7 linked regions of the Canis lupus familiaris genome follow. The protein of the gene in region 7 purifies or fractionates together with the protein of the main gene of each other region. This does not show direct contact. Links are inferred from orthologs where the notes say so. Each region holds a gene or a part of one and is shown on either strand. Other genes may lie near its edges. The genes, in order: TCTN2, PTPRU, SLC12A2, SLC9A6, SLC12A6, SLC30A1 and CLGN.

Region 1 (3,994 bases), on a different chromosome or scaffold from region 7:
ATCCTGTCAGGGAGGGACTGTTCTCTCCCTTCTACAGATGAGGAAACTCAAATTCGGAGAGGTTAGGTGAGCTGCCCTAGGTCACCCTGTTGTGCCCAAGATTGTGAATCCGAGAAACCACCAAGGAGCTGACACCGATGCAAACACATGAGCGTTTATTTACAAGCTTGAGCTTGGGTCCAAGTGCAACACACACAGCGGAGCAGGGACTTGGACCGGGAAGTGGGTTACAGCTGGGTTTTTTATGGGCTGGTCTAGGGGATCTTCAGAAGGGGTGGAGGAATTTTTTCCATTCCAATATGGGGGAAAGGGTGGGGGAGTTTCTTAAGATCTGATAAGGGATTCTCTGCGGAGGGCATTCTGAGCTTTATGGTCTTTCCGATATGGGATTCCCTGCCGAGGACATTCTGCAGTTTTTCCTGTAAAGTTCAGCTCTTATTCCCAGGGGACTAAGATGCCTGTACTTGTGCTAATGCTAAACGTGAGGTGGAATGGCCTTAATTTTTCTCTGCCTCCACAACCCAGTCGCGGAAGGAGGGAGAAATCCCACAGTGATCCCATAGCCTGCACCCCTAGTTGGATTACAGTAATATGGTGTGAGATGCTTTGAGGCTATTGACATAGCATTCAGACACTTTGGCAACCGTCCTAATGCTGGGCAAAATACTTTGTGTTCTTTGAAAAGATCTGCCAATGGGGAGACTTGGTGGCTCAGTGGTTGAGCATCTGCCTTTGGCTCAGGGCGTGATCCTGGGGTCGTGGGATCCAGTTCCGCGTTGGGCTCCCTGCAGGGAGCCTGCTTCTCCCTCCGCCTGTGTCTCTGCCTCTCTCTCTCTCTCTCTCTGTGTCTCTCATGAATAAATAAAATCTTAAAAGAAACCTGCCTACAAGCGCTTATGGCTCCGTGCGGCAAAAACAAGCAACACAAAACTCTTCAAAAAATTGGGAGGATAAAAACAATTCAACAGCGCTGCAGTTACAGCACGGCAGCCCCACCCCCTTTTTTGTCCTCCCAAAGTGCCCATAAAAGTCCAGTTTATTAAGGAGCTTCTTCAGGAGCCAGCGCCCGTAGGCTCGCTCTTGCCGCGTGACTAGCTGGAGGCGAGGGCACCGCTTCCCCTTCGCCATCCCCGCGTGGAGACGCCGGGGCGCAGGCCTGTGGGCGGGGCTCTGAGGCCCGCGGCTGATTGGTGGTTGCCATAGCTCCGGCTGGCTTCGCAAGATGGCGGCGGCGGGGCGGCGCGGGCCCCGGCTGCAGAGCTCCCCGGCTTCCGAGGTCGGCGCGGTTCCGTGAAGCGAGCCCCCAGGCCTCAGGCATGGGCTTGCCGCCGCCGGCCCCCCTGCTCCTGGGGCTTCTCCTTCTGCAGGGCGTCCTGAGGCCGCTGTGGGGGGACCTGGGTGTGTACCGCAGGGCCGGGGCCTGCAGGCCGGGGCGGGGGCGGGGGCGGGGTTGGGAACGGGGCGTTTAAGGGGCCAGACTTGGGACCCCTCCCGGAGTCCTTGCAGCTAGTAAATCCACCCTTCCCCTTCTTTCCCGCCTAGTCTTCATCCCAGCTTTCATCCGCATGACCGGCCCCGCGGCCAGCGCGTCCCTGGTCGGACGCACGGAGGATGTGACCGTGTCCCTGGCCCTGCTGCAAGACAAGGAGGGTAAAGAGTCCGGCCCTTCCTGTGGGGAGGGTGGGGCTGGGCGGCCCACGGAGCCTGGCCACGTGGCATCCTGGGAGGTGGCATCCTCGCGGCGCCGGCCGCCGGCCACTGCAGAGTCGGCGTGGGAGCAGGGATGGGGGGCCGCTGCGGACCACCGCTGGCCGACCGAAGGGTTCGGTGAAAGCGAGCTTGGGGCCGCCATGGCTAGCATCCACTGAGCTGTCTGTCCCCTGTGCTTTACGTGCAACCGTATTTTCCTAGTAAGAACAGTAATATCCTTTCATGTCCTTTAACAAATGAAGACACTGCAGTTCAGAGAGGTTGTCACTTGTCCAAAGTCGCACAACTTATGAACGGCCCAATCCTCATTCCCTCCTAGGGAGCCTGAGTCCAGCATGCACCCCCTTAGCTGCTGGGCAATCCCGCCTTGCATCCTAAACTTCTCTCCTATAGGGTTATTACCGGTTCCTGCTTGTGGAGTGCTGACGAATGAGACAGGAGAATGGAGCTTGACTGTGACCCCTAGTGTGGTAAGGTCAGAGGTAAAATGTCCTCGGTTAGCACTCATGGACACCTGCAGTTAGTGTTTCTGCAGGGCTTTCTTGGTTGGTTAAGATACATAGTTTTCCCTCTGCTTGGAACTACCATGAAACTGTAGGTTATCCGTTCCAGTGGACACCCACCCAACTCAGTGGGGCTCACCCTAGATTCAGGGATCCTTGGACAAATTTCAAGAAGTTTGTGAACCCTCTGAAATTGTCTGTAATGTTATTTGTGTGCCTGCATTTTTCTGAGGAGAGGGTTGCCAGCTCACATCAGATTATCAAATGGATCCATGACTCAAAAATCTTCATAGCCACTGGCCTCACCCAGCTCTGATCTTACATGTAAGAATACTCAAGCCCAGAGGAGTTAAATATCTTCCATTTAATAAATGTTTTATTGAGTGCCTAGTATGTGCAAGACATCAAATTTGGAGATAAAGGCTGAGAAAGGCAGACTTTGCTTATACTGCAGGAACTAGGGACTGTTTTCATTGACTTGTGTGTGCTTTTCATCTGCTGATATGCTGGTAGGATGATAAAGTCTCTAAAAAGGTGCTGGGCATACTGAGTTAATTTACCTGACAGACCTATGTTTAGGCTTCTCTAACTCTCCAAAAGTTGCTTGCTTTTCTGTTAAACTGAGGATTAGGAATCAGGGCTTGCATACTGCCCAAGTTTACAGGGTAGGATCAAATGATGTGATCTTTGTATATAGTTCTCCTTTTTCAAGTGAACTGAAGCTGATATGTAATTTTATTGTGTTTTCCATTATGTGTTCTTAGAATTATTCGTGCTATGTTGAGTCACTTTATTTATTTATTTATTTATTTATTTATTTATTTATTTATTTATTTATTTATTTATTGTTGAGTCACTTTAAAAGGGACAGCACGTTTTCCTTTCAGAATGCATTGGATGTGACAGTGAGAATGAAGAGGGGTCTGCAAAGGTGTTTCTCTGAGACAGATTCCTTCTCAGAGTCCCCGTGTATTGTCCAGACTCTTCTGGTTTCAGCATCTCGCAATTCATCCTGCTTAGCACATCTGCTCATTCGAGTGGAAATTTATGCCAACTCTTCTTTGGCCCATAATGCATCAGGTTAGTAAAGTCTTTGACAATCAAAACATTCATGCCAGACATTATCTGTCAGATTATAAGCATATGACATGCAATCTGTGCACTCTGCTCTTGAATCAATTTTACCTTTCTAAAAAAACAAAACAAAACCAAAAAAACCCAATTTTACCTTTCTAAACATACTTCCTTTTTGCTTAATTTTCTTATTTTAGAAATTTATAATTTGTACTATTTTACTTAATTAAGACCTATTTTATTTTGTGCTATTGTTCATATCCTTGTAGATTACCTTCAAGGGAGAAAGAGAAGTTTGTTTCTGTGTATTGATTCTTGTGACTCCATCTTAAAACCAAAAACAACAACAACAACAAAAAAGAAATGAGGGAAAGATTAATGAAGTTTACAAAACAAACAGAAAACCCACAATAAATTTTCAGTCAAAGTTGCCTTTTCAGAGGCAGCCTCTTAATTTCCGCTTATGGAGGTGTGTGATATTCTCTTGTTTAAAAACAGTACACACACATGCACTAATAACATGCAATTTACTATTCTATTCTATACCTTTTAAAAATAAATTCCATATAAATGTAGGTTCACCTATTTTTTTTAAGAGCTGCATAGTATTCCCTTGTGCGGCGATACCATTGTTTGACTAGTCTCTTACTGATGGCATTTAAGGCACTTCTAGCTTATGATGTATAACTAGCACTATAGCAGATATC
Region 2 (2,859 bases), on a different chromosome or scaffold from region 7:
GGTGCCATACAAGGCACTTAGTCATGACCTCTTCTGATCCTATCAGGGTCATCCCCATTTTACAGATGGGAACCAAGGCCCAGAGAGGGAGCTGACTTACCCAGGGTTTCACAGCTGGGGAGGCTCATCGACCTGATACCAAAGCCTGAGCCTCCCATGCTGTCCCCAAAAGAGCTCAACCCAGATCCAGGCCCCCATGGGTGAGAGGCAGCTCTGTGCCCCTCAGGGGTCTCAGGATGAAGCCCACTGACTGAGGAGCTGCTTCAGAGGCCTGGGTAGAGGCAGCAATAGACAGAGTTCTCTGGAACCTGTCCCTACAGGTCAAAGTCCCCTGACCCATGCTCTGGTCCACATCCCCACCATTTTGTGAATGGAAAAACCAAGGCCTGACCAGACCCAGGGCCTCTGCCTCCCAGCCCAGAGCCCTCCCAAAGCACTAGGGGGCTGGGAGCTGGTGAGCAGGCCCCACTCAGGCTGGTCAGACACACACAAGGCTGCTCTGTGGCATTCAGAGAGCACGTTTATTTACAAAGCGCTTTACAAACATCAGCTTATGCCTCCCCACAGCCCCTGCGAGGTAGGTCAGTAGTCATATCTACAGTTTACAGATGGGGAAATTGAGGCACGGAATGGGGGTGTGGCCTGCCCCATTTTAAAGAGATTTTCCCACCCACCCATCAAAAAATAATGAAATTAACAAAAAGGAATTGCTCCTCCAACCCAAAATACATGTTCTTCCACTGAACTGTAGAAGTTGGAAGCACCCCTGATCTAGCAGTGCCTCGTCCTCAGGGGGCAGCCTGACCCAGAGCCACAGGAACCTCAACCCCAAGGGCTGTTGTTCAACCTTGCAGATTGTCACTGGCCTAGGCTGAGCAGGACCCACCAGTGAGGCCTGAAAGTTACAGGAAGAAGGGCTGAGGTGCCTTCATTCTGAAGACATTGGGTCAGGCAGGGATAGGGCCCCACAGAGAATAGGGCAGGGATGGGCAGATCCCAGTTCACGGAAGCTCAGAGCACACATCAAGGAAGTCATAGTGGGAGGCATCATGAGCAAAATATCCCCAGGGCTGATGAGGGGGCAGCAGGGTGGTGGAGGGGGCTAGAGTCCCATCTGGGGAGGACGAGTCTGATGTGCCCAGTCTCCCCAGGACCCTCAGGGGCCAGGCCAGGTGGGATTCCAGATGCCAAGCCCCAGTGCACCCTCTATCCATGTCAAGAGGAAGCCACACTGCCAGGTGGAAACCTTGGCCAGCCACAGGCTCTGCAGGGTCTCGCTCATCTCTGCCAAGGGCTGGGACAGAGTCTGGGGCTTGAGCCTGGAGTCAAGGAGCTTGAGCCTGGGTCCTCTCGAGTTGTCAGTTCTGAGCCCCTGTCACTCTACCAGGCAGTGCCAGACTCACAGCACAGGCCTGTAGGACCCTGTGGAGGTGGGCTACGCTGCAGTCTTGCTAAGCTCCTCCTTGGCCCACAGCCTGCCCATCCGACATGGTGAGAGGCCCTGCCCACAGTGGAAGGGAGCACCAAGGTGGCACAGTGCCCACCCTAGTGCTTTCCCCGCGGGAGCTGTAGTGGAGCAGAGTTAGGGGCACAGGTCTTCGTCCTCAGTGCTGAGCCTGGCCCTGAGTGCACAATGTGGGCCCCAGGCCAGGGGCCCCGCTATCTTGACTCCAGTCCCTCCAGGTACTCCAGGGCCACATCATAGCAAAAGTGGTACTGATCCTGGGGAGAGGGAGAGAAGGAATCATGAGCCTGGTCCCTCTCTGGTATCACGGAAAGGGATAATGGGGGCCCAGAGGGCAAGTAGGAGCCCTGGTCAAATGGGTATAACTGTGTTGGCACCATTAGATCAGAGCCCAAAGCCCAAAAAGGGGGAGCCAGGTGGAGGACAGCGGTGCCAAGGGACTGGCTGGGTCTGGCCTGGGAAGCTGGAAGTGGTTGGGAAGGGGACATGGTCTCTCACCAGGGTTTCCACCATATTGGGCTTGTAGTTCCTAAGTGTTTTGGCAGCAAAGAAAACGTCCACCAGGTTGTGGCAGCGGATCATCTCCAGGACTGTGGCACAGGCGCAGAAGGTACCACTGCGGCCGCCCCCATTTCTAAATGAGACACACAGAAAGCTTGTGGTGGGGCTCAGGAGGGGTTGGCCTGGGGCTGGAACATCAAAAGTGACCAGGGAAGCAAGAGGGAGGAGGGTCAGGGACAAGCAGCCCAGAGGTGAGGAGCAGAGCCAGGGAACCCCAGACAGGAGGGGCGGGGCTTAGGAAACCTAGGAGAGAGAGATCTGGGAGCACAGAGGTGAGGGGAGAGGTTGGGAACCCAGGAGGGAAGGGCAGGGAGCCCCAGATGGGAGGGGCGGGGCCTAGGGAACCCAGGAGGGTGGGGTCAGGGAGCCCAGAAGGGACGGGAGGGGCCAAGGGAACCCAGTAGGGTGGGGTCTGGGAGCTCAGTCACTAGGACTGGCCTCGGAAGCCTGGGGGCAGCTAGGGAGCCAGCCTCTAGGAGGAAGACAGCAGGTTCTGAGGGAAAGGAGGCTAGATACACTCCGAGAGAATGCCACTGAGACAAAGACACAGACGAAGGAGGGCAGCAGAGCAGCAAGCAAACCCCAGAGAGCAGGATGGAAAATGAATACCCCAAACACCAGTCACCCCCAGCAACACAGACACGTGGTGAAAATTCACGCACACACTCACACTCCGAGGCAAACCGGCAGCCAAACATACAGAGACACTTCCTATCCCGTCTCCTCTCCCTCTTCTGTTCCCTGTGACATCAGGGTGTGGGGTTCCCCTTGGGAGAGGGGGGATGGCCTAGGCCCCCAGCCCCCATTTTGAGGGGTCTCTCCCACTAGGACCA
Region 3 (4,067 bases), on a different chromosome or scaffold from region 7:
CGCCACCCAGGGATCCCTTAAGAGAATTTAAAATTTGAAATCCTAGAGTTGACGCGCTACCTGAAAGACCAATATAGATCAAAATAATAACGATACAAGCCATTATACTCTAGGCAGTAAACATGGGTCTTGATGTCCCCCTTTTTTTTTTTTTTTTTTCCTAATCTTCAAAATAACCCTGAAAGCTGAGGAAGAGGAGGCTCATAGGTTGGGTAGTTGCTTCAACTATACAGCTAACAATACAAGTGTTCTTTTTAAGAGATTGTAAACTGATCAAAAATGCCCAAACAAAAAAAAAAAAACCTCTCAAGTTTTGGAGAACCTGGAAGTGCTTTGTTGTTCAAACTTGAAGTACTTTGTTGTTGAGAGAATTTAAAATAAAAACTTTCCTAGGATGTTTACAAGTTCAAGATATTTAACATCCTTCAATTTAAAAACCCTTTTTAAAACTTATGGGTAAATATAGACTAACTACTTAACTACTCAGCTTTGGTGCAATCTGAAATACGGCTTTATGATGTTTTTAATAATATATATGCTATATACTGGAAGGGAAATTACCAGCTATACATCTACTTTACAGAGGCTTAGAATTTGGCAAGGATAAAAATAATAAATTTGAAAGAAACTAGAGGAGGACAAATAAGTGTTTTAAAAATTGTCTTCTGATATGACAAAATACCATCATGGAGTAACAGGAGTAGTATTATCCAAAACTGAATGTCAGGCTTTTAAAGAATCAGCAAGCTGCAAGAATTGGGACCTCTGTAATTATTTCAAATCGTATGAATGTTACATTATCAAACACTAGGACAAATACAGTCTCGAATGAAACGACTGTATGAGAGCAAATAATCACCTACAAAGAAATTGCCTATGTTCTGTATTTAAACTTTTCCACACTGTGATCATCATCCTATGTGGTACCAACTCTTTCCATTCACAAAATTTCATCAGCGTAGTCACTTAGACACTTGTTAAAGTAGTCCCAACTCCTAAAAGTTAAATATTAATCAAGTTTCAGAAGCACTGAAGTTATCTCAAAACAATGATTTTATACCCTGATGAAATAAAAAGATGATGTGGCCATAAAAAAATAGAATCGTATAAATCAATAGACTTTTGGGGATGGTTTTCTGTTCACAAATATAACTACTTATGCAAGACCCTAGAAGGTCTTTCTGGACATTCTCCACACACGCAAAACAGTAACAAAACCCCCACGATTCCCTTACTTCTCTTTCTCACCTTGTACCTTTCTCCTCACCCTATTTTGCACTTTGCCCACCCTCCCAACTTTTTATATAGTCCTCTCACAAGAAGTTTACGTAATAAAACACAGATTTATGCCATGATCAGGAACATCATCACATCCCAAGATTTGTTTGATCCTTTGCATATTCAAGATGGCAGGAATTGAGCTTTAATAATCCACAGACCACAAACACACCCTGTTAAGATCTTCCTTTCAAACACTACGGTTCCCACTCTCGGGACCCCTAACCGGTGCACGCACATAAGCCATACGACACAACCCCTAAAAAGGGCACAGGCGGTGGGGGCCCTCCACTGTCTTCCCCAGAGAGTAAATCCTCACCGAAACCATCCGCACACACCCTTCCCGGGCCCACCAGCACAACTGTCATTCGGAGGAGGGATGGCTGATGGCTAAGCGTGGGTGAGAAAGCAAGCATACACGAGGGACACACGCAAGTGGACGGTGAAGGCTGTTCAACCCGGTCCCTCTCCGGTCCCCTAACCGGCTCAGCCCGCTGCAAACTTCTAAGAGGTTAAGTTACGTTCCTCCGCGATTCCAGCCTTGACAGCTGCCTGCAGAGATGCCCACGAGCCGTGCACGTCCGTTCCCGCCACCTCACTCACCCGTGGCGAGGCGGCGGCCACATCCCGCGGTCAGCGAGGACCAGAGGTTGGGGATGAGGCAGGGCTGGCGCGAGAGGGCTGCGGGGAAAGGGCTGGGAGCGCTCACCTTCTCCAGCTCGTCGTGGAGCTCGGCCAGGCTGGGCCGGAGCAGCTTCTCGCCCAGCTGCGCTGCGGTGTGCCGGTAGTGATCGATCCTGGGCACGGCGTCCATGGTGTTGTGGCCAAAGGTGCGCAGGTAGTAGGTGTTGGTGTGGGTATCGTAGTAGTAGTGCTGGTGGTGCCCGCTGCCGCCGCCGCTGCCGCCGCCGCCGCCCGAGTGCAGGCTGCTGCCCTCGCTCAGCACCGTGTCCCCGCCGTTCTGGAAGCTCACGTTGGGCCCGTCGCCCGCGACCCCCGCCGCGTCCGACAGGCTCTCGTCGGCAGAAGAGGAGGCGGCCGGGTCCACGAAGTTCACGCGGAAGCGGCCCTTGGCTTCCTCGCTGCCCTTGCCCGGCCCGCTCTCGCCGCTAGCTTTCCCGTCCGCCGGGGTCTCCCTGCCCCCGGCCCCGGCCCCGGCCCCGGCCCCCGCCCCGGCCCCGGCCCCGGCCCCGGCCCCGGCCCCGGCCCCGGCCGCCCCGGCCGCCGCAGCCCGCCCGGCATTCTCGGAAACGAGGTCCACCTGGAAGCGGCTCTGGCTCGGCGTGGGGCCCAGCGGTCTGCCCAGTCCGTCCCCGGCCGCCGCCGCGCCCTCCCCGCGGACCCCGCCGCCGCCCCGGCTCCCGGCCGCAGCATCCTCCGACCCCGAGGGCACGGCCGTGCCGGGCAGCTCCACGCCGGCGCCGGCGCCCGCGCCCGCGGCCCCCGCGGCAGCCGGCGGCGTCTCCCCGACCCCAGCCAGCCTCGGGGCGCCGGAGGAGGGCGCCGTGGGCCCGGGTTCCATCGCCGCCCGCCCGCGGCGGACTCGGAGAGCCCCGCGGCGCCGCGGGCTGCACGCCCTCCGCGCCCCCCGCCGGCGGAGCCCGCGGCCGCAACGCCCGGTGACGGTGACGGAGCCGCCCGCCGCCGCGCCGCCGCTAGCCCGACCCGCACGAACGCCGCCGGCAGCCGAGTCGGCGCGCGAGTGCAGGGGGCGCGGGGCGGGCCGCGCCGTTTAAAGCCTCGGCGGGGCCGCGGCGGCGGCGGCGGCGGCTCGGGCGGCAGCACGCGGGAGGCGGGGTCGGCGGCTCCTCCGCCCCTCGGCCCGCCCCCCCGCGGTCCCGCAGTGTCGCGCGGCGGGCGCTGCCCCGGCGCCCCGGCCCTCCCGGGCTTCTGCCGGAGCCCACGCGAGAGCGGCCTGCGCGAGGACCGCGTCGGTCCGGGCAGCGCGGGCAGCGCCGGCAGCGCGAGCAGGAGCCGGAGCCGGAGCCGGAGCCGGAGCAGGGAGCAGGGAGCAGGCGCGGCGGCGCGCCGCCTCAGCGCCGTCGCCGGGATCTCCGCGCCGCTACCTCCTCTTCCGTCGCCTTCCTCCCACCCCTCCACCTCCTTCCCCCGCCTCCTCTGCGGCGAAGAGGAGAAGGCCCCCGGCCGCCTCCCTCTCTCCCCGCCCCTGGGGCTGCACGTCAATGGGCCGACAGCCCGGGCCTCGTCAGAGCAGGCGGACGGCGGACGGCGGACGGCGCCCGGCCCGGCGGGCGAACGCGCGGGCGGGCGCCCGATGCTCCCGCGGCAGTGGCTGCCACAGCGGAGGCACCAGGAGCTCGCTCGCTCGCTCGCTCTCTCCAATCCTCTCTCTTTCTTTAAAAAAAAAAAAAAAAAATTTTTTTTTTTTTTTTTTTAAGTTCTGAGCTCGCCGTACTGGGGCTGAGCCGGCGAGATCTCGCGAGATGCTGCAGGGCTCGGGGGCCGCTTCACCCGAGGCGTGTGGTACCCGTGGCGGCGCTCGAGCTGCCGGCCGCACCCCCGCCCCCTCGCTCCCGTGGGTGACGCCGGGGGCTTTCCCGTCGGGCCCGCAGGTGCTTCCGGGGCCGCCCGGCGAGGTGCGCCCCCAGGCGAGGTCGGCTCGCCGCGCCGGCCCGCGCCACTGCCCGCTGTCAGCGCCTGAGCCGCTCCGGGCCTGAGCCGAGGGGGGGAGGCAGGATTTCCTCTCAGCCGCCTTTGAGGCGGCCGCCTCCCCGCCTGCCGCGGTAGATTTGCATAACCAGAAACACTCCCGCGGAGATGCGGTGGGT
Region 4 (2,613 bases), on a different chromosome or scaffold from region 7:
TCCTCTCCCTCCCCTCCCACAAAACAAAATTAATTCACGGCACAAGAACTTGGTACTCTAGTTAAGTATCAGGTAAGTGTAAAGAGTAAATCTGTCACTTCTTATACTTTAACTGAGACATAAAGCTAACAGAACACACAACATCACTGTGAAAATAACTTTTTTCTAAAACAGATCCAATCTACATAGTGCAGCCAATGAAATGTAAAAGAATAGTTTGTTCACAATCTGCCTTGTACAGATATTTATATTCTCTCAATGCCATATAAAGAGCATTTATATAGCTTAAACATTCAGAGACATGCACTGGGACTTTTTAGGTAGTACAAATTTCTTCACAATCACATGTGCAAATTTTACAAATCACTAAGGGAGTATTAGTAAGCTTAGGCTGGACTGTGTCTCGTATTATCTAACAAATTTAATGGGGGTTCGGAATCATCCATAGGAAGAACCAGGCGTGTTCCCCGAATGACCAGTTCATGGTCCCCAAATGCAAGCTCCCGATCCAAGGCATCTTCGGAACTGTTTCCCATAAACCTTCTAGGGGCACCAGATGCTCCTGATTCGGTGTTCACAGTAGAATCCCCATATGTCAAACTAATATCACCATCATTGAGAATAAGATCGGAGTCATCGTCTTTCAATTGCTCCTGGTTCTAAATGCAAATAAAATAAGTCTTAAGAATTGCTATGCGACTCAACAAACATTTTCAATAGAAGAATTTGCAAGGATTCCCTATTAAAAACCCTTTAGGGCTAGCCTGCTGCCCTCAGGATAAAGCCTATAGCCCTCACCTTAGCTTAAAGATATTGCGTGAGTCTGGCCCTCCCCTCCCCACCCCCAGCCCCCTGCATCTGCCTCACCCACTCCAGCCTCCACATTGTATGCCTGCCGTCTGAACTGCTGAAAGGTGCCCAAATCACTCATGCTTCCTCTTACCTCCTGTCTTCCCTGCCCTCCTTCCTGGGAATAGAGCCTGTTTATCACTGAGGTCTTAGTTAAAGGAAGTCCCTTCCTGCTGGACGTCTTCTATGATCTAGCAAAGCTGGCTTCAGTGTGCCTCCTGTGTTCTCTCCCGGCATCCTGTGCTGACTCCTGGCCCTACAGTGCCCTTTATCCCTGTACCACAACTGCAGGTGCACTGGTCTGCTCTCACATCTCACACTACTAGCCTCTGAGCCCCTTTGCTGTAGTCCAAACACCTAACAGGTAGGGGCACACAGAAAGTATCCTCCAAATGTAAGTCTGATGGATTATTGAGTGGATTTATGTAAGTGAAGCTATTACTTCTATATGAACAATGCCTAGAGATATAATATCCCCCAAATATGCTGAACCCTCACCATATACTTGTGTTCCAGCTCAATAAGCTTTTGGTTCTAATGGAGACTTTGTGGCCAAAAGAGTAGAATTAAGTAAAGTTCTACAAAAGGGGGAAAAATCAAGCATATGTAATGCCAATTTGGTAAATAAAAGAATGTTATGCGTGCAGAGAAAAGTTTGGAAAGGTAATCAACAAAACGATGATCATTAATTCTGCATAATAAAATTGCTAGTGATTTATCTTATGTTTCCACACTGTTTGAAATTTTATTATAATAAGTACATATGACTTTTAAAAATCCAAAAGTCATTGTTTTCTAATATAAAGTGAAACAATCATTCTAAACACTCCTATGGATCTGGCAAAAAAAGCTTCTGTGACTAATACTCCTTCAGAGAAGTAGAGTTGATACAAACTTTGACATCCAGCTCTTCTAAGCTATGTTTGGAAATCTTAAATTTGTCTAAGATAGACTAAGGAGACTGATACAAATTTAAAACAGTTTTAATTTGTTATTGCTCGAAATTTGCCTAAATACTCAAAGCCATGTGAATTAAAAATGAAACAAACTCATTCCACCAACCAACCAGAATGCCCTCTTGCCTGGTGCAGTATAACGTGAAAGCTCACTAGGGTCTGTCCCCTTCCTGAGTAATACTCACAACAAAGCTCTGGGGTGCCTTTACCCATAAACATGGTTTGTAATGACAAAAAAAGGAAAAGAAACAACCTAAAGGTCTAGCTGCAGGAGACTGATTAAATCAATGCTGGTCCAGCCACACTATTCAGCCATGGATAAAGAGAAGGTAATGGTCTTCAGGTACTCATAGAAAGGTAGCCATGCTATGTCATCAAGTGAAAAAAAAAAAAACAAGTAGCAGGACAATGCAATTGTGATCTCATTTATATAAAACTGTAACTAAGCTATATAGACATGTATGTTTGTGCAGATAAAATATATCAGGAAGGACACACAATAAATCCTTCATAAAGACTACCTCTGGGGGGGATGTAGTTGGGAGAAGGAGCAAACTTTGATTTTTCACTTTGTTCCATACTGTTTGAATATCTGGCCACAAGTATGGTAACTTTTATAACTAAAAAAGTAGGTAATTAAATGAAAAATAACATTAAAAATTAAGTTTTATGGTTGTTATGGGTTAGATGATATCTCCCCAAAAGATGTTGAAATCCCAACCACCAGTACCTGTGAATGCAATCTTACATGGAAATAGGGTCTTTGCAGATGATCAGGTTAAGATGAAGTCATTAGCATGGGCCCTGA
Region 5 (3,500 bases), on a different chromosome or scaffold from region 7:
CTAGGGTACCTGTCCCACTACCGTGGACTCAACTAAACAATAGAGTATTACAGTGGAAGCTGTAAACAATGCCTCTACCCTCTACAGTGAGGAGCAAGAAAAACTTGTGTCTGCTTTGCTACCTTGACTAGGTCTTGAGGTTGGAAAAAAAAGAACAAAGGAAACAAAATACTCAATTTCTAAGCCATACTGAAGGGTTTTCTCCTCTGTCCATAAGGTTCAAATGAATAATCTGCTGATACCTAGGTTTGCTTATTCCATATCCAATAGGATATGGAAAAAAGAGTGGCACTATTTATCATTAATAAAGTGATAAAAGTGATCATGAATACAGGCAAAATAGTTTCTCTAAATACTTGTCCTATAAAAGAAATGAACATTTCACATATTTTCAGTTACCAATCGAAGCAGTTTCCCTATGCTTGAAAGCCTGGTGTGTTATGACCAGTAAATGAAGACAACCAGTGAATGTTTTACGACCAGCAAATAAAAAGCTAAGCTTGCACAAGTATTTCCTTGACACGCTGAGAGCTTTCTGAAAGCAAATGGAATAGCAGAGGACTGCTGGCTTGGATAATCTTAGTTCAGAGCCAAGTTCCTGCAGTCCCAATGAAGAATAAAATTGAAAAAAGAAAAATGCTCAGACTCTGGGTATTTAGGTGAGCTGAGGGCCTTATGTCTTTGCTATGGCTTTGGAAATGAGTCCACAGTTTCTTAGTGAAAAAGAAGTTTCTTGACAGGCCAGTGCCAATCCTGTGCCACTTCAGGGAGGCAGGCAGGGAGAGTAGCAGCAGCTCAATCTTTGGCACTGTGGAAGGAGTATGGCTCTAGAACTTCAAATTCCATTGCTAGATTCCCCCTTTAAAACACAGTCCCACGCTTTCAGGGATTTCAGTGAGTCTTCTAGCTAGTCTTTATTCCTAGGATTCTGGACCTGTCTACTAACCCAGAGGGCAAAAAAGAAAGGAGAGGAGAAACTACTGGTCAAGGTGCATCGTCACCTAGATGTCCTAGGTAACAGCTTGTATGTACTGCCCACGATGCACAGGCAACCAAAGACTTTCAGTAGATCTTAATAGCTACCTTTTGGAGTTAACTTTAATTTGGCCATTTGAAAACCTGAAAGATATCCTTTTTACTCCACCTTTAAAAGACAATTTCCAGGATAACAATGCTTGTATTACAATGTTAACCATGGAATGGATTTTGAGAACCAGCTGACATGTAGACCAACACAATCTGTCCTTGAAACTGGTATTTTGGGGGAATCTTGTTTTGAAGGAAGAATTAGAGGCTGCAGCCATGTTTCAGTGTTTGTATATTAGTACTCTAATATAAAACAGAGTCCTTGAGAGGAGTGGATACATCAAAGAAAATGAGCTAAAAAAGGTTTTCATCTTGGTTTGCCACAGGATATCCCACAACGATGTTAGGTCCCCACATACTTAGCCATGTAGTCTGTATTACGATGAGTTGTGTCTCTTTTACCCTCATGGTGTCATCACTGAATTGTGACTTTGGAGATGCCCCTTTAATATAGGACATGTACTTGCTTTTTGTCTTCAGCTGAATTTCTAGCATCCCTTTTGCCAATTCATTTTAATAGTTTAGCTTGTTAATTCTAATTTGTCTTCAGCTAGGCCAGACATGGCTTTCAGGACTTGACCAGTGTTCTGAAGTTGAGGAAATACCTGCTGTTCCTGTCAGGACTGGAGATTGTATGGTAGCAAAGAGCAGAACGACGTGTACTTTTCTGCACAAGTACTTGAGGCTCAGCCTGTCAAGAAATTCAATGTGCTGTGTACAGAACCCCAGCTTCTACTGGATGGAAGTGGTAGTAAGGAGCTGGCTTCCTATGCAGAAACCTTTTATAAAGGGGAGGCCTTTTAGAAAGGCAGAGTCTTCAGGAGTAGATTAGGAATAAATGGTGATCACTTCACTGCCACCACCTCGGACGAGGAGGACTCGCTCTAGTCCCTCGGTGAGCACTTCTAGGAACTCCATGTCTTCAGAATTTGTCAAGGAGAAGAGCACACTTTACAGCCTGACGTCATGAGAATCGGGGTTTGTCTGACTACAACGCTGCAAAGTTAACATGCTTGTCTTAATTATTACCTGCTCAGAATGGGAGAAGTCTGAACTCTGGATTCGGTTAACCCCTATGAACTAATCCAGGGATCTAGTTCTTTTGCGTATATAATACAAGACCTTCATTTGTTAGATTTTTGTTCTAAATGTTATTTTACAAATGAGGGAACTCACAAGTAATGTGTGTGTACAACACAGTAAAATAAGCCAAAAGAGAAAAGCCACACAGGGCAGCTCCTAAGACTGCTAGAGAACCCAAGTAATTTCTAAGGGAGCTGCTCAAATCAGTTTTCTCTGCCAGTTCTTTTTCTTCCTTAATCTCTTTTCCTTAATGGTACTGATGGGAGAGGGCTAGTCTACACCACTGCATTTCTGAAGGGGGCCCATAAAAAAAATGAGGTGTGATGAGGGTATGAGGAAAAACCCTTATCTTTTTCCCCTCTGAGAAGATTTCACTTAAACTGCTTCTCCCCTAACTACATCCACAAGAAAGGCTTTGCGAAGTGGGTGAAGCCTGAAAAGGAAAAAGGATGTGGGTCTTGTGTCTCTAGGACTGTTTCAGAAAGGGTTCTGTACTGTGAGTGTTAGCAATCATGTTGCAGAGTTACCACCTCAAGAGTCTATGGACACCCAACTCCCCCAGAGGGGCTCAATCTCATTGCTGTGTAAGAATCCTTGCCTAAGGCTTTCAACAGCCTTCCCTTCTCAAGAACGAATGTGGGCACAGACAGTGATGTTAAGGCTACTCAGTGGTCGCATCTCAGAACCACTAACGACTTCCCTACTGGTAGCTCCACTCTTGGAAAGGATACAGTTTTCATCACCCTCAGGGTTTCGGGGTGGCCCTGGCATATTCAACAAAACCAGCTTTGCTTCATGGGACTTGTTAACTATGACCTCATTGAGTTTCACTGCTGTATGCATCCGCCTCACGTTGGATTGGTCCCTGGATGGGTAGAAGGGAGAAACAGAGGTGGTTAAGGCAAAGTGAAAGCTAGACACACAGTCAACTTTAAACACCATGAAATACAGAGCTTTTTTACTTTGGTTATGAATAATGTAATGAACAAATGTTTTCCTTATGCTAATATCCTGGATTTTCTCATTCTACATTTGCTTCTTTTATGCCAGGAACACAGTATGGTGAGAAAGAAGGCTGGTTAGCTTATGTACAAGACTAACTGGTAGCTGACAGGCACAGGCAAATAACAAAGAGGCTGGATCTGGGGTGATGTGAAGAACGGACTTCATCCTGTGTATCCAGGCAGAGTTACATATGTGCCACTCTGACTAGGATACCACGTTATGTGATAAGCTTGTGAGCTGCAAAACTTACGGACGCATGTTAAGCAGGTCCTGGAATCCTTCCATTGACTTAGCCTTTTGTCCCCGGGATGCCATGTACTTGTCTT
Region 6 (3,934 bases), on a different chromosome or scaffold from region 7:
ATTCTGCTTCCAGCAAGTTGCCAGACATGTAATTCATGAACTTCCTCAACTCCTTCAACATCTCGAAGTTCTTTTATCAAATTTTTGATATCAATTTGTTTAGGAACAGTTTGCAGAAGAATTAGAGCAGATTCCTTAAGTAATGGATAAGTTGTGTAAAGAAGTATACAAACCATTACAATGCAAAGAGTTGGATCTAAATATAGCACCCAGCAAGGACCAGCCTCATGAACTGTTGCATGAGTACTATTAATTATTTCTACAAATGCTTTGCAGGGGTCAGGGATACATGGATTCACACAAAACTCCCCTTCAGGACAACCCCTCCAAGAAAAGTAAAAGACCAAGGCATTTACTACTACAATCACTGAACCCAAAGCATCTCCAAAGACATGCAGAAAAACTCCACGCATGTTAAGTTGTGCAGCCTTATCGTCATCTTCCAATTCCACATGGTCAGATTCTCTGATAAGATTCCCATTCACTTGTACTTCCACTGCATCATTTCTAGACTTTTCTGGATCTATAAAGAAAGGAAAAACGCTGTATCAAATACATTAGCAGTGTTTATACAAACTTCTTCATTCAAGTCCATTTTAGTGAAAGAGGTGAACATTTTTCATGGAATAAAATTTTTTTAAAACGTGCCCAGGACAGTTTATTATATAAACTGACATGTTGGGAACAAGCCAGGGCAAAATCAAGTCCTTAAGGAGATAGTGCTTCCCCGTTCTCCAAACCAGCCCCCTACTTCTCCCACCTCCAAAAAAAGTTCATCTTTTCTGTGGGGGTGGGGTCCCCTGTACATTCTGCTCTACTTTTCGGCATATGCAAGAGAAAACGTAAAATCGAATGCTATCACCCACAAATTAAATGCAACTAGGAAGAAGTCTACTACAAATGCCTGATTTGACACACAGCTCTGGTCCCTCTTTGTCATTAAGGTGTTGTAGCTAAATCTTAACTTTTATCATGAACAGAAACCAAGAAAAGAGTCTCTTGGTGGAGTGTTTAGAAACGACAAATCAGCAATATGAGCCCATCAACAATCATAAACTTCAGGAAAAGCTGCAACGATCACTATCTACCCTACCAGTTCTTAAACCAAACGTACCCATCTTTTAAAGGAATTACTGTCTACACACCAGAGCAGCCTCGTTTTCTTTGGAATAAGACCTCGCAGAGGGGGAGTAAGGGGAAATTCAACTGTTTAGTAAACCTTTCAATGTACAAGTTCAATTTCATTAACGTGATATCCTGCACCTCGAAGAAAGAACAAGTAGTATCATCCGACTAAACAAATAAATATAAGCGGAAAAAGGCTGGATGGAAATACACCAAATTATTAACATCATCAGAGCTTGGGGAGCTGGGCTTTGGTCGATTCCTTTTCCCCATCTCTTTTCTTTCAGCATTTTCCAAATTGCTTTCAAGAGTAATCATATTTAGAGGGGGGGGGGGGGAAGCATCCAGTAAAAAGGGAATAAGGGAAGTCACCGTCAGGCTTATTTTATAGTATGATTTTCCAAAGTCCGGAGTGAAAGGTTAAAACATGACCAAACAGGGTCCTGAACTAGGATCTGCAGGATTAGGCTCAGACTGGAGACAAGTAAGTGAAATACACACACACACACACACACACACACACACACACACACGATGCCCGTTCGGAAAAGACACCTTTCACCGGGCTTTTGGGGTGAGGGAAGTCCATGGCTAGGGGGGCTCTGAAAAGAAGAAACTTGTTTGAAGGGCACAGGAACTACTCGGGCAGGGCAAGGTTTGTGACGGCCAACAACTCAGGATGAGGTGGGGATTCTCTCCGTTTCCCAAGGGGTGGGGGTGGGGGTGGGGGGTCGGGGGCAGGAAACTGAATTAGGAAGCACTTTGGATTCCGTGGAAACCCCGATCAGGAGAGTCTCTCGGGAAGACGGCTCCCGAGGGCGGCTGTGGACGGTCCCCCCCCCCCCGCCCCCTCTGCCCCCCGCCGCCCTGGGTCCCCGAGAGCCCCGCGGGCCCCGGACGGCGGCCCCGGACGGCGGCGGCGCGGGCAGCAGGGGGCGTGCGGCCCTCCCGCCCCGGGCCGGCCGAGGGTCCCGCCGTCCCCCGGCCCGGCCACCTGCGGTCACCCTCCCCGGCCGCTCACCTGGCCGCTCCAGTTTCAGCCCGTTGGAGTTGCTGCTGTTGGACACCAGCGTGTTGGTCTCCTCCGCGTCGGGCCTCTGCTCGCCCGGGGTCTCGCTGTCGTCGCCGGCCCCGGCGCGGCCGCCCTTGCCGCGGGCCCCCTTGGGGAGGCCGTGGCCGTGCCCCCCGTGCGAGTGGCCGTGGCCCGAGTCGTTGCCGAAGCCGCTGTGATGGTGGAAGAGGCACAGCCCCATCACGTTGACCAGCAGCCCGGCCACGCCGACCCCGAGGACCACCAGCGGCTGCTGCATCTCGTGCGGCTCGATGAAGCGCTCGATGGCCTCCAGCAGGATGGCGAAGCAGAGGCCGGTCAGGAAGATGGCGTTCACCAGGGCCCCCATCACCTCGGCCCGGATCCAGCCGAACGTGTTCTTCTGGGTGGCGTGGGTCCGCCGGGCGAAGCGCTCGGCCACCAGCGCCACCACCAGCGCCAGCACGTCCGACAGCATGTGGAAGGAGTCGGAGAGCATCGCCAGGGACGAGGTCACCTGGCTCACCACCACCTCGAGCACCATGAACATGAAGGTCAGCAGCAGCATGCACACCAGCCGGCCCCGGTTGCGACCCCAGCACCCCATGGCTGCGGGCCGGCGGCTGCCCTGGCGGCGCGGGCGCGGGCGCGGGCTCGGGCGGGGGCGCGGCGCGGGGGGCGCCGGGGGGCGGGGGGTGCGGGGCGCCGCGGGGCGGGCTGCGCGGCCGGGCGGGGTTGAGCCCCGGGGTCAGGCCGCCGCGCCCCCGCGCCCGAGGGCGTCCCCGGCGGGCGGGCGGGCGGGCGGCGCGCAGCTGCTCAGGCGGCCGTGCTCGGGGCCGGCGCCGAGGCCCGGCTCAGCCCCAGCAGCCCCCACACCACAGCGGGGCGGCGGCGGCGGCGGCGGCGGCGGCGGCGGCGGGGGCCGAGGCGGCGGCGGGGAGCCGGGGCTGCTCCGGGGGCCGGGGGGCGAAGAGCCGGAGCGGCAGCGGCGGCGGGCGGGCGGCGGGGGCGGGCGACGGGCAGCTCCGCGCTGCCAAGGCTGCGAGCATCTGCAGGGCTCTCGGCGCAGGTCTTCCCGCCGCTGGTCTCCTCCGCTGGGACTCGGACCGCGGAGCTGACGCCTGAAGAGCTAAAAAGGCGGCGGCCCCGGCAGCTGCACTCGGCCCGGTCTCCGGCGCCTTCTTCGCCCCCCCGCCTTTGCAGACGGTTTACAAAAAAACTTTGCTTTGCACTCGGAACCCCCGTTTTCACACGGACCCGAGCGTGACAAGGCCCCGGCGCCCCGCCCACCAGGCCCGGCACGCCTCCCCATTGGCCGGGACCCCCTCACGACAGCCTCCGCTCCCCGCCCTCCCGCGCTCGCCATTGGGTGGGGGCTCGGGGGGGCGGGAGGGGGCGGGGCCGAGGCGCCAACAGATGGGGGCGGGGCCTTCCTCTCCGGGAGCCGGGCGTGGGCCGGGGGCCGCGGCCGGGTGCAGCGGCGGGCGTCGTGGGGGAGGGTCGGGGGCGCGGGCCGCGTGCAGCAGGAGGGGGCGGGGCGGGGCGGGGCGGGGCGGGCGCGGTCCCCCGGGGCGCGGCGGGGCGGCTGCCGGCGCCCTGCGGGTCCTCGCGGCGCCCCGCGCGCCCACGGGGGCCGGGCGGCCGGCAGACTTTGATCCTCCGCGCCGAGTCCACGTGGTGGGTGAAGGGACGGCTCGGGAGGCGAGTTGACCGAAGTCAAGCCATCTTGGTATTTCGGCTGACCCTTAACCTAAAAGTCAGCAGGTCATAAAAAGAGTC
Region 7 (3,500 bases):
CAGGGAAAAATATAGTATGAAGTCACTGATCTTTAGTTCTTAATATTATTCCCCCAGAAAATCACATAAAGAATACTTAAAAATTTTTTAAAAGTAAATTCTATGCCCACCATGGGGCCTGCACTCATGAGGCAGAAATCAAAAGTCACATACTCTATGGACTGAGCCAGCCAGGTGCCCCAAGAATACTTTACTTTTTAAATATAAATTAGTTGGAGTCTATTTTCTTTGACTTCTTAAATAGTTAATGCATACTATTACAAATCAAATTTCTAAAAGTTAACATTATTTTTAAAAATATTTTATTTATTTATTTATTTATTTATTTATTTATTTATTTATTTATTTAAGAGAGAGGACAAGCGGGGTATTGACGGAGTGATAGGGAAAAGCAGACAACCCACTGAACAGGAAGCTGGAGCCAATCCCAGGACCCTGGAATCACAACTTAGCCAAAGGCTTAACCGACTGTGCCACCCAGGCGTCTCCCAACATGACATTAATAACAACTAGATACAGAATAGAAATATCACAGCATTTTAAACTTGACTGTGGAATTGGAAGAAGTGGTTATTACCTGGTAGTTAGGATTATCTATCATTGGAGGTCTCCATACTCCTTTGTATTTGGGATTATCTATCATGGGAGGTGACCACTCACCACACCCAATTCGACATGCTGGATTAGAAATACGAGGTGCCTCCCATTCTCCATCCATGTCTTCATTCCTTAGGAAAGTAGGGGAAAAAATTCAACATAAAAGCTTTACAGACGAAAATGTGTATCTATGCATTTATAGTGACCTCAAGTATAGTAGCTTCAAGTCTCTCCTGTAAGTCACATGAACTAGTAGCACAAAGCAAGAAAGAAATTGACATTTGAAGATGAAGAATATTTACCAGTCATCAGGTTTTTCAGCATTTGGATCTGGAATAAATTTTGGTTCATCATCAAGCCAGCCATCAGGTTTAACAACACTTAAATCTTCTATTTGGGCAGGTTCACTTTCATCCCTGGAAATAGAGTATTTTGTGCCAAGTATTAATTATTCAAAAAGTTTAAAAATACATATGTTACAAAATTCAGAAGATATTCAACCGGTATTTCCTACCCTTCTGTCTTTTGTGCCTGCTACTTCCCCCATCTCTCATTCGCCAAAATCTTCTGCTAACTTGTCACTTTTTATTTTTTATAATTTGTTTTAAATTTTTTTATTTATTTATTCATGAGAGACACACAGAGAGAGAAGCAGAGACACAGGCATAGGGAGAAGCAGACTCCTCGTGGGGAGTCTGATGTGGAACTTGATCCTAGGACTGCAGGATCACAACCTCAGACAAAGGCAGACACTCAACCACTGAGTCACCCAGGTGTCCCGTAATTTAGTATTTTCATTTAAAAACACTTAGAAAACAAATTCTAAAATATATAAAAATAATCATATTAAGTACTGAATAGAACTCCTAATGATAATTTTCATCTTTATAGAAAAGTAAAAATTTTAAACAAGAGGTTACAGTATGATTTTTCAAACAAACCTAAGTAAGATAAACTCAAATAATCAACTCCCTGTAACTAAAGACTTGTACTTGCCTGATATCAATGTTATCTTAAGTCTGTCAGGGTTCAGAGTAACTATTAGAGTTTAAAATTTTAAGGGAACATTTCTTTTAGCAGTTTATAAAACAAATTCTAACAGGTATCACCAATTGGAAAAAGGTTATCATAACCCATTTCTCTTATTTAAGGGCAATCTTCTTTCTCAGCCTTACTTTTTATGGGTAAACAAATATGAAGCAATGTAAGACAATCCACATGAAGGATTGTAGTCCTACCCTTTTCTGAAAGTGAATTCATGAAAGTTATGCATTAATAAGTGACTTTTTATTAGTTTTTTAAAAAACTATACTGTTCTTCCTACCTTATAAAGGTTGTTTCCCTATTATACTATTTGCTTGAAGGCAAAGACATTTTTATCACTAATCAGAATCTCTCTTTATCTACAAGAGAGTTAACAAGTAAACACTTTTGGTTATCCAGAAGCAACACTCTTATTTCTGAGTACGTAGTAACCCCAATGTTTACAAACAAGTAAGAATTTGAAATAGGAGTAGACATTTTCCAAAATGAAGCAGAGAGAAAAAAAATTGGTTTAAAAAATGAACAGGGGTGTGTGGGTGGCTCAATCAGTTAAAGTCTGCTTTTGGCTCAGGTCATGATCCCAGAGTCCTGGGACTTAGCCTTGAGCCTCTCATCAGGCTCCCTGCTCAGCAGGAAGTCTGCTTTCCCTCTGCCCCTCCTCATCCTGCTCCTGCCCCCCCAACAAATAAAATCTTTTTAAAAATGAATAGATCCTCAGTAACCTGTGACATCATGTAAATGTAAACATACATTTTACATGATGTTCCAAAGAAAGGGGAGACACATATAAATATTTAAAGAAATAATGGCCAAATATTACCCAAATTTGATACAAACTATACAGCTATATGCCAAAAAGCTCAGAAGCAAAGTAAACCAAAGCAAACACATATACACAAAACCAAACTGTTGAAAATCAGTAATAATAAATCTTAAAACCAAACAGGAAAAAATTACATATTAGGTAAAGGAGAAAAAGGATGAGAATAACAACTGACTTATCAGAAACAATTCAAGCTTCCTCAAGACAACGCAAGAAATTATGGTTTTAAAATAACTATGGGGCAGCCTGGGTGGCTCAGCGGTTTAGCTCCGCCTTCAGCCCAGGGTGTGATCCTGGAGACTGGGATGGAGTCCCACATGGAGCTCCCTGCTTGGAGCCTGCTTCTCCCTCTGCCTGTGTCTCTGCCTCTCTCTCTCTGTGTCTCTCATGAATAAATTAAAAAATAAAATAACTATCAACCTGCAATTCAATAGTAAAAACAGCCTTCCAAAATTAAGGTAAAATAAAGTTTCAGATAATTAAAAGTTGAGAGGATTCAATGACAGCAGACATATGTCACAATATGTTGGGAAGTTTACTAGGCAGAAGGAAAATAATAACAGATGAAAATGTGTATCTACAGAAGAGTACCAGAAATGATAACTATGAGGGTAAATAAAAGAACTTTTCCCCTAATAATTGTCTGATCAAAAGACACTGACTGCAAAATAAATATATGTGGCCTTCATAGTATAGATAGAAGTAAGTGTATGATAGCAGCATGAAAGAGGAAAATATAAGGCCCTTATAAGATTAACTTAGATGTAAAGTGGTATGATGACAGTAGACTGAAATAAGTTAAAGATGAATATCATAAAACTTACAGCAACACTAAAACAGTAAACCACAGAGGAAAAGGTAATATGCCAAGAGAAAAGAAAAAATAGGAGACTAAAATAAAAGAAAACAAAATAACTCAATCTAAAAGAATTTAGGGAAAAAAATACCTTATAAAGGACCACAGAATATATGGGACAAACAGAAAACAAGTAGTAAGAAAAGAAAATAAGCATAATTTATATCCAACCATATTAAT

Evidence for each region.
Region 1: the proteins of CLGN (region 7) and TCTN2 purify together in Homo sapiens (affinity purification with mass spectrometry; 3 studies listed by BioGRID and IntAct, with this or other methods). This does not show direct contact. The link is inferred for Canis lupus familiaris from reciprocal best matches to the Homo sapiens genes CLGN and TCTN2.
Region 2: the proteins of CLGN (region 7) and PTPRU purify together in Homo sapiens (affinity purification with mass spectrometry; 3 studies listed by BioGRID and IntAct, with this or other methods). This does not show direct contact. The link is inferred for Canis lupus familiaris from reciprocal best matches to the Homo sapiens genes CLGN and PTPRU.
Region 3: the proteins of CLGN (region 7) and SLC12A2 purify together in Homo sapiens (co-immunoprecipitation; 3 studies listed by BioGRID and IntAct, with this or other methods). This does not show direct contact. The link is inferred for Canis lupus familiaris from reciprocal best matches to the Homo sapiens genes CLGN and SLC12A2.
Region 4: the proteins of CLGN (region 7) and SLC9A6 purify together in Homo sapiens (co-immunoprecipitation; 3 studies listed by BioGRID and IntAct, with this or other methods). This does not show direct contact. The link is inferred for Canis lupus familiaris from reciprocal best matches to the Homo sapiens genes CLGN and SLC9A6.
Region 5: the proteins of CLGN (region 7) and SLC12A6 purify together in Homo sapiens (affinity purification with mass spectrometry; 3 studies listed by BioGRID and IntAct, with this or other methods). This does not show direct contact. The link is inferred for Canis lupus familiaris from reciprocal best matches to the Homo sapiens genes CLGN and SLC12A6.
Region 6: the proteins of CLGN (region 7) and SLC30A1 purify together in Homo sapiens (co-immunoprecipitation; 3 studies listed by BioGRID and IntAct, with this or other methods). This does not show direct contact. The link is inferred for Canis lupus familiaris from reciprocal best matches to the Homo sapiens genes CLGN and SLC30A1.

What each region holds. Positions count from the first base shown.
Region 1 is NC_049247.1:6,206,203-6,210,196, reverse strand, and holds the start of TCTN2 (tectonic-2), read left to right. Parts: upstream 1-1,194; 5' UTR 1,195-1,316; coding exon 1,317-1,398; intron 1,399-1,542; coding exon 1,543-1,650; intron 1,651-2,103; coding exon 2,104-2,192; intron 2,193-3,024; exon of another isoform or gene 3,025-3,100; coding exon 3,101-3,293; exon of another isoform or gene 3,294-3,402; intron 3,403-3,561; exon of another isoform or gene 3,562-3,994.
Region 2 is NC_049223.1:70,679,004-70,681,862, forward strand, and holds the end of PTPRU (receptor-type tyrosine-protein phosphatase U), read right to left. Parts: intron 2,100-2,859; coding exon 1,964-2,099; intron 1,723-1,963; coding exon 1,660-1,722; 3' UTR 501-1,659; downstream 1-500.
Region 3 is NC_049232.1:17,053,209-17,057,275, reverse strand, and holds the start of SLC12A2 (solute carrier family 12 member 2), read right to left. Parts: upstream 2,801-4,067; coding exon 1,988-2,800; intron 1-1,987. UniProt on the Homo sapiens protein: Cation-chloride cotransporter which mediates the electroneutral transport of chloride, potassium and/or sodium ions across the membrane. Plays a vital role in the regulation of ionic balance and cell volume.
Region 4 is NC_049260.1:107,407,472-107,410,084, reverse strand, and holds part of SLC9A6 (sodium/hydrogen exchanger 6), read right to left. Parts: intron 660-2,613; coding exon 387-659; 3' UTR 1-386. UniProt on the Homo sapiens protein: Endosomal Na(+), K(+)/H(+) antiporter. Mediates the electroneutral exchange of endosomal luminal H(+) for a cytosolic Na(+) or K(+).
Region 5 is NC_049251.1:1,127,315-1,130,814, reverse strand, and holds part of SLC12A6 (solute carrier family 12 member 6), read right to left. Parts: coding exon 3,425-3,500; intron 3,035-3,424; coding exon 2,901-3,034; intron 2,007-2,900; coding exon 1,915-2,006; 3' UTR 1-1,914.
Region 6 is NC_049228.1:9,811,904-9,815,837, forward strand, and holds the start of SLC30A1 (zinc transporter 1), read right to left. Parts: upstream 2,801-3,934; 5' UTR 2,763-2,800; coding exon 2,147-2,762; intron 524-2,146; coding exon 1-523. UniProt on the Homo sapiens protein: Zinc ion:proton antiporter that could function at the plasma membrane mediating zinc efflux from cells against its electrochemical gradient protecting them from intracellular zinc accumulation and toxicity.
Region 7 is NC_049240.1:3,153,950-3,157,449, reverse strand, and holds part of CLGN (calmegin precursor), read right to left. Parts: intron 1,014-3,500; coding exon 900-1,013; intron 729-899; coding exon 578-728; intron 1-577. UniProt on the Homo sapiens protein: Functions during spermatogenesis as a chaperone for a range of client proteins that are important for sperm adhesion onto the egg zona pellucida and for subsequent penetration of the zona pellucida.